2 separate regions of the Mus musculus genome follow, and region 2 is reported to be linked to region 1. Evidence: microRNA targets listed by miRTarBase, many of them from high-throughput screens and not tested one by one. Region 1 holds a microRNA gene; the other region holds the end of a gene's coding sequence.

Region 1 (4,150 bases):
CAGAACACCCCAGGCTCCAACCCCCGCAAACCTGGTGGTGGGTCCTCGATCTGCGCATGGCACAGCTCCTGTGAATATTGCTGGCTCTAGAACCCCTGCAGGCTTGGCTCCCACAAATCTCTCCAGTTCCAGGATGGCTCCAGCATTGTCTGGTGCAAACCTCACCAGTCCCAGGGTGCCCCTTTCTGCTTATGATCGTGTTAGTGGCAGAACCTCACCTTTAATGCTTGATCGAGCCAGGTCCAGAACACCACCATCTGCCCCAAGCCAGTCTAGAATGACCTCTGAGCGTGAGCGGGCTCCTTCCCCTGCTTCAAGAATGGTTCAGGCTTCTTCGCAATCTCTTCTCCCTCCTGCACAGGATCGGCCTCGGTCCCCTGTGCCATCTGCTTTTTCAGACCAATCTCGTTCAGTTGTCCAGACCACTCCTGTAGCAGGGTCTCAGTCCCTTTCATCCGGGACAGTAGCGAAGTCCACATCCTCTGCTAGTGACCACAATGGCATGCTTTCTGGCCCTGCCCCTGGGATATCCCATGCTGAAGGTGGGGAGCCACCTGCCTCTACTGGGGCCCAGCAGCCTTCTACATTGGCTGCTCTGCAACCAGCTAAGGAACGTCGGAGCTCTTCCTCCTCTTCATCATCATCTAGCTCCTCCTCCTCTTCATCATCTTCATCGTCATCCTCCTCTTCCTCTGGCTCCAGTTCTAGTGATTCAGAGGGTTCCAGCCTTCCAGCTCAACCTGAGGTGGCACTGAAAAGGTGAGGCAATTAAGGGATCTAGGGAGCAGGGACTTAACAATGGGTGGGTGAGTAGGGAGGGAGAAATCTTGTCAAAAGCACTTGGCTTTGAGAAAGTATGGGGGACCTTGGCCTTCAAGCTGGGAGTAGAAAGAATGTTGGGCGGGGGCTTTGTGGGGAGGAATGGGACAGATAAAAGTCTCCAAAGGTTAATTCTCCAGAGGATAATGATAAGTTTTCCATCTCTACAGAGGACAGAACTAGAGGAAATGGACTTAATTTTACAGCAGGAGGGATGGCAGTTAGACCTCAAGAGGAACTCCCTGGGCTGGAAGGATCTTCAGAGGTCATCCCATCCCTCTCCCTGCCTCCAGGCAGGACGGCCCCTCCCCAGCCAACCTGCACTCACAGGGGCCTCCCCAAGCTGCGGCTCTCCAAGGAAGGAGATCACCCAGCTTCAGCTTCCACATCTGAGTCCAGGGGCCTTAATCCTTCATCAGGGACATTCTTGAGGTTTAACCTTGATCCCTTGTGCTTCGGGCCCCAGCCTGTTGCTTGTGTTAGCAGAGGTTTGGTCAGCTCTGTGCCACTGCTCCAGAGAAGTACTACTCACTGGCCTGCCTTCGTGTTTTCCCAGGGCTTTTCTCAGGCACCCCTCCCCCACTGCCGTTCCTCCAGGCCAAGGAAGGTAGGGTTGGGGTTGGGGCATCTTGTCTCCTTGTGACACCTTTCTTCTCTCACAGGGTTCCCAGCCCCACCCCAGTCCCAAAGGAGGCTATTAGAGAGGGACGTCCTCAGGAACCAACCCCGGCCAAAAGGAAGAGGCGCTCTAGCAGCTCCAGTTCCAGCTCCTCCTCCTCCTCCTCTTCCTCTTCTTCCTCTTCCTCCTCCTCCTCATCTTCCTCCTCCTCTTCTTCCTCTTCTTCCTCCTCTTCTTCCTCCTCTTCCTCCTCCCCCTCCCCTGCTAAGCCTGGCCCTCAGGCATTACCCAAACCTGCAAGCCCCAAGAAGCCACCCCCTGGCGAGAGGAGGTGAGTGCTTTCTTGCCTGTTGTGGAAGGGGGGTTGGGGTGAGTTCTCCAGAAAGGGGACCCTGGGTGAGGTTCCTGCTGGGGTGCCTCGTGTGGACGTCTGTGACTGGTTGTACGGGAGAAGGAGTGCCGGACTCCTCCCATCCTCCCACAGTGTTGTATTCTGGTCAAGGGCTGCACTATCTAACTGAGGTGTCCCAGGCCATATCTGGGAAGTCATAGGATTCTTCCTCCCTCTCCCCTCCCCTGACAAGCAGCCTGGTCTCAGAGATCTAGCTCTAAGTCTCCCCATTGCTGCTGCAGGGCTCTGGTCTGGCCACCGTCATCTTCTCCCGACTCTGTCCACAGCCTCCTCCCTGTCTCCCTGCCTCCACGCCATTCTCTTCCACACGTAGCCAGAGGGATCTTTCTAAAACGCACATCTGGTTACTTCCCTTCACTCCACAAATCCTTCCGGAACGCCCTGTGGCCTGCAGGATAAAGTGCCACCTCTGCGGGAATGGCGTGTGAGGCTCTTCACCAGCTGCCCTTGCCCGCCCTGTGCTCCTCCTGCCCGCCCCCACACATGCCCCGTGCTCCGGCCATACCCAGCGCCTTGCAGTCTAAGGAGAGCCCCATGCCTTTGGACATGCTGTTCCTTCTGCCTGGGATTTCCTTGTCTGCCTGGTGAACTCGTTCTGCAAGACTGCATTCAAACAGCACCTCCGAGAAGACTGCCCTGCCATTTCCCTGTCCTGCCCAGGTCCCCATCCTTTCTCTGGATCCCCAGGCCCATGCATATCCATCCTGCTGGGCTGTTTCCTATGTAGGGGGCGTGTGTGCCTTCATTGTTAACCTTTACTACCAAACAAAATTCTTCCAAGGGCAGGGACTCTTTTATCTTTGCATCCCCCGCTGCACCCTGTGCCCTGTCCACTGGGGTACTCGGTGGATGGTGTGCGGGCGGATGGGTGAGTGCGGACAAAGGTGGGTCTGAGGCTGGCCCTGTGTGGTGTGAGGTTTGGTGGTCAGGACCTGGGTGGGTGGTCCTGAATGCTTGGCTGGTGGGTTTGGGAGGATGTGGAGCTATAGAGGCCTACTCTGCTTCCTAGGTCTCGAAGTCCTCGGAAGCCAATAGACTCCCTTCGGGATTCCCGATCCCTCAGTTACTCACCCGTTGAGCGTCGACAGCCCTCGCCCCAACCTTCACCAAGGGATCTACAGAGGTAGGGCCTATAGCAGGTGCTAGCAACCTGACTCAACTAGCTACCATTAATTTGTAAGCAAAATTTAAAAGTTTTTGGTATTGTTCTGTGACCTAATTTCTCCTCTTGTAGCAGTGAGCGAGTTTCCTGGAGAGGCCAGCGAGGGGACAGTCACTCTCCTGGTCACAAGAGGAAGGAGACACCTAGTCCCCGTTCTAATCGTCACCGCTCCTCCAGGTGTGTCTCCTTGGAAGTCTGGCCCTTCTGAGAGCTAGTAGTTAGGGATAGGGATATGTGTGGTGACCCAGAATGACCAGTCTTCTCTATTCCAGGTCTCCATAATCTGGATTCCACTACACCTCATACTCTGGAGACATGAGTATTCCTCATTTTTCCCAGAAGAATCATGGAAGGAGTCTTTGTATGCCTTCCCTTGAACCTTGGCAGCATCTTGAGGGGAGAGCGTCCTCTCCCACCCACCCTTTTTTTTTTTTTTTTTTTTTTTGGTTCCTGTGAAATGTTGATCTCTGTGAGTTTTTCCTGGTTCTTGTGTTTTGGGGGTTGGAGTGGGAGGGAGGGAGTCTAGGGAGGGAGGGGCACAGCTCAGGACATCTAGGCCTCAGATTGTGATGATCCAGGGAGTTAGCTCCCTAAATTCTTGGGTGACTGATGGTTTAACTTGGTAAGTTGTAATCTTTCCTGAAAGAGGAAGGAGCTGAAGTTGGTTGGCCCTGCTGCACCCCCTTACAAGGTTGTGAGGCCCTCTCCCCCCCAACTTTGTTTAAGGCATTTTGGTTTTTTAAAATCTGTACAGTAAAAGCAACTTTTTCTGTCAAATAAAAATGAGAAATGCAGTAATTGGTCTGTAGTCTTTACTTGGGGTTAAGAGTTCTGTGAACAAGAGGGAACAGAAAAGTCAATCAGGTAGACAGCCAAATTTTTTTTATTGGGGAAATGGGTCTCTAGGGGGTAGGCCTAGGCCCTCACTGCACAGCTTGTTCATTGGCACTGCCTCCAGAATCCTGTGGCTTCATCACATCTGGAAGCTCTGGAGGGCTGGAAAAGGGCTCGATGCGGAGAGCTTCGAAGGTGTCATCTGGGGAAGGGGTATAGAAGATTCTCAGCGTTTCCATTCATTGACTTGTATCAACCATCAAGGCCATAACCCTCCCCACCTTGGTTGCCTGACTTGGCAATG
Region 2 (4,000 bases), not on the chromosome of region 1:
TAGCTATCAAGACTACCCTGAACCTTAGTGGAGTTGCAAGGCCCCTTGCTCCCCACTGTTGATATATGTAGCAAGGACTGAGGAGGAAACAGACTCTCCCACCTGGTGAGCTGTCAGCAAGTCACTCAGAGAGTCCCAGGGCTGCAGCTTTGATGAGTTGTCACGTGCATTAGAGTGTTCTTTCAGTTATGAAGCTTGTGTAAGTAAGCCCTCACTCATATTTCTGTAAGTAACGACACTAAACTCAGTCATAGCACTAATTTGTTCTGTTGTCAGTTCCTATCTGGAGTAAGCACACATTTATCCGTTGTTCTGTGTATGTGCATTAGTCTCTAACACAACATGGTAGCTTTACATTTATCCGTTGTTCTGTGTATGTGCATTAGTCTCTAACACAACATGGTAGCTTTGGCTATTGTCTACTCTGACCCCTTGAGACTATTCTACTTTACTCTGTAATAAATTCTATGTTCTATATTAACAAGAAAAGAAAGAAAGGGAAAGAAAGTATTGGAAATTAAACCCACCCTGCAGATAATTCAGTACAGGAGTAACTAACCTTCCTTGGTTCTTTCAAAACCTGGACTTATAAATGTTTTACTTACACGGAGTAAATTAGTAAGATAAAGCAAACTATGTATCTTTCATTTATGCCCTTGGAGCTTGACTAGATGTAAGGGAGCTAGCTCAAATTACTCATATGCTCAGAGTTCCAGTTTTGGGCTCTGAATGGTCTTAGCTGCAGTTGGTATCGCATGGTCCTCTCTAGAGTTTTATTAACGTGAATTCCTCCAGGTGAGTGCCCCAAGACAGAGTCAGCATGAAAGAGGGACCCCAGTGGAAGGTGAAGTCTACAATAACCTGAGTTTTTAGAACAATATGCTATAACTTATTCAGCATGCTCTTGGTCACATATATCTATGAGGGAGAGACTACACATATTCGGGTATTGACACCAAGGGTCAGCAGTCATTGGAGCAACTGTGGAAACTGATTTCTGCTCTGGTCCTGGTCCCGTTGTTCTGTGTATGTGCATATATGCTTAGTCTCCAGATGCGGTGTCCCATCTAGAGTATTGTGAGAAAAAAAAAAAAAGATGGGAGATGTAATAAACTTGTTGGTACCCAAAGTGTAGCAGTAGCTTATTGGGAAGTCTGGACATATGCACTGTCACAGAGCAGAGGAGCTGAGATTACATTGATCCATTTGATTTCCTTAGCTGGTCAGGCAGACATCTAATGGGAAACTTATTTTACTTCTATGTTTTAGTGGTTATTCAGTCAAAATTTGTTGTCTGAATCTGGCCTAAGAATAAATCTAATTTCTTCTTTAGAAAGGGCTAAATGATACAAAATGATGACTTAGTATCATGATAAAATGTTCTCAGTTTTATTGAAAGCAGATACCATTTCTTCACACAGGTGAGTTTTCTTCTTTCAAAAGCCTATTTCATTGTACTGTTTCATCAGAGTTAAGTTGGCTCAGTGAGACAGACAATCATGGATGGAGACGGACACAAAGTTAGCACCACAAATCTATACTGCAGATAACCACAACAGACTTTCCAGTGTTTACAAGCATTCTTACATACCCACACATTATTTACAGCTAATAAATAAATTGAAAGCTAAAGCATCATTGACATATGTATGCATGGATGTGTATATACTGTAATGAATTAGCAATAATGGGGATGCCGGTGACAAATTATACATATTTTTATTGTTAGAATTGACTCCAAACTTGATGAAATCGGTCACCTTTGTCCTATATTACATAGGCACAACCAGCTTTCTCCTAGCAAGGGCTAACATTCCAGCATATCTGGAACTACTTCTCTAACATATTCCAGTATATCCCTTGACTCTTTCCTTTCTGAATCACATTGAATGACGACTACACTTGTGGGGCTTTGCATGTGGGTTGGTGTTCAGATACCCACAAATTTCACAGTTTCTGCTCCCAGCTATAGCCTCTGAGATAGATCTTCTTTATCATTTTACATTAATGAATAATAAAAGCAATCTGAAAATGTGAGATCTCGTTCATAAATAATTCTTCATTATTGATTTTTGTTGTTGTTGTTGTTAAGGTAAAACAAAACAGCGGCAACAATCCTGGTACTTTCTATAGCTATTACAGTTGAGGGCTCTTCTCTTTGCACAGCAGTTTACAAGCATCCATATGCACATTTTCTAGTAATTTCAACTTTTATGTGATAAAAAAAAATGGTCCTGCTCTAAAACTTGTACTTTGCACAGTGCAGAATTTGAACTTGATCACATCTAAACTAGAAATTAATGTGATGTGTTAGAAGTGTGACAGAGGCATGGCGGAGATGAGTCTCAAATGAAATACAAAGTATTGGATATTGGGCATTTCAAATTGATGAAAACAAGTAAGAAAAATCTGATAATAAAATTACAGTTCTCAAGCTCCCAGGACACAGGAAGCTAAGGCAGGATGGTTGAGAGTTCAAGGCCAGCCTGAAATACATAGTTTAGTTCGAGGCCAGACTTGGTTACAGCATGGGACAATTGTGACTTTTTTCAAGAAAGCAAAAAAGAGAAGAAGTAAAATCAACCTAGGCATTTTTGTCTTTCAGCAAAATTTATGTGTCACCTCAATTACAAGCTCATTTTCTTTCTTTCTTTCTTTCTTTCTTTCTTTCTTTCTTTCTTTCTTTCTTTCTTTCTTTCTTTCTTTCTTTCTTTCTTTCTTTCTTTCTTTCTTTCTTTCTTTCTTTCTTTCCTTCCTTCCTTCCTTCCTTCCTTCCTTCCTTCCTTCCTTCCTTCCTTCCTTCCTTCCTTCCTTCCTTCTCCCTCCCTCCCTCCCTCCCTCCCTCCCTCCCTCCCTCCCTCCCTCCCTCCCTCCCTCCCTCCCTCCCTCTTCTTCTTCTCCTTCTTCTTCTTTTTTTTTTCCCAAGACAGGGTTTCTCTGTGTAGCTCTGGACGTCCTGGAACTCACTCTGTAAACCAGGCTGGCCTTGAACTCAGAAATCCTCCTGCCTCTGCCTGCCAAGTGCTGGGATTAAAGGTGAGTGCCACCATTGCCCAGCTTACAAGCTCCAGAGAACAATGTTAAAATATCTGACAAATATTTAAAAGATAGAAGGATTAAGTCATAAAAATTCAAGTCTATTAAGAATTACTCAGTCTAGGTTTTGTATCTCTGTTGACTTGTACTTTGTTGTGGTGGGACCAAGGGTCAGGACTTCATGAGCCATGTCTTCAACTGCTTTTGCCAAGTCACACGTTCCTGGTTACTTTTTTTTTTTTTTTTTTTTTGGTGGGGGGAATATATCCCAATGGTAAAAAAACTAGTTGCAAAGGCCAGGTGTTTCAATCACTAAAGAAATGGACCTGACTTATGCCACAAAAAATATTGTCTATATTAGACTTTGAGAAAACTTTGAAAAGGTCTCAATATAAAACCTCAGAGTTCTTACTAATTTTAGACCATGACCAAATGGGTCACATGATGGAGTCTTATATTGTTGGGAGCAAATGATTCCTTCTTAAGGGATACAAGACAGCATGTTTCTCCTGCCTGCTGTCTTCTAATGCTGGAAGACCTGCTATGGGCCATTAGATTCCTCACCCTGGGTTAGCCACCGTTTAATATTTGAGACTGTCTTCTGTTTAACTAACAAGATAGAGCTGGGATTAATACTCAGGAAAACCCACTTTCAAACACCCAAACAAGGGTATTATTTTTTTAAATTAAATTTACTTTGTTTTCTTCTGTCTTCAAAGAACTCAGATGCTTTCTTCTCTTGTTTGTTTGTCCAGTGTCTGAGGAAATACAGAAGAAAGGCTATTTAATCATCTGCTTTGTCTTCTACAAATCCATTCCCTCCCCAGCACTGTCAGGAGGAAGCAGTGACGTTCCGAACAGAGCTTGTGTGGTGCAGATTATAGATGTGGAAAAGCAGTAGTCTCCTGGGGCAGAAATAGAGAGGCCCCCATCTGAGCATCATCTTCAGAAGACCAGGTCATGT

The links. Region 1 holds the annotated microRNA mmu-miR-5125 (UCUGCCUGGGAUUUCCUUGU, at 2,408-2,427, shown strand). A microRNA usually pairs through its seed, bases 2 to 8, with sites in the 3' UTR of a target mRNA and lowers its output. Matches are read on the target gene's strand: a 7mer-m8 pairs with bases 2 to 8, a 7mer-A1 pairs with bases 2 to 7 and ends in A, and an 8mer does both.
Region 2: miRTarBase lists Lpl as a target of mmu-miR-5125. Seed matches in the 3' UTR shown: 7mer-m8 at 3,546-3,552 and 8mer at 3,010-3,017.

What each region holds. Positions count from the first base shown.
Region 1 is chr17:23,820,932-23,825,081 of GRCm38, forward strand. It overlaps Mir5125 (microRNA 5125), which reads left to right and starts at 2,360; the gene lies at 2,360-2,438. Srrm2 (serine/arginine repetitive matrix 2) reads left to right here. Exons shown (of 15, transcript NM_001368687.1): 11 at 1-759; 12 at 1,482-1,769; 13 at 2,860-2,973; 14 at 3,085-3,189; 15 at 3,285-3,810. The coding sequence ends at 3,294. Elob (elongin B) reads right to left here. Exons shown (of 4, transcript NM_026305.2): 4 at 3,809-4,048. The coding sequence ends at 3,936.
Region 2 is chr8:68,904,300-68,908,299 of GRCm38, reverse strand. It overlaps Lpl (lipoprotein lipase), which reads right to left. Exons shown (of 10, transcript NM_008509.2): 10 at 1,368-3,794. The coding sequence ends at 3,794. Among named protein-coding and RNA genes, the nearest start is that of Lpl, 26 kb to the right of the region's middle.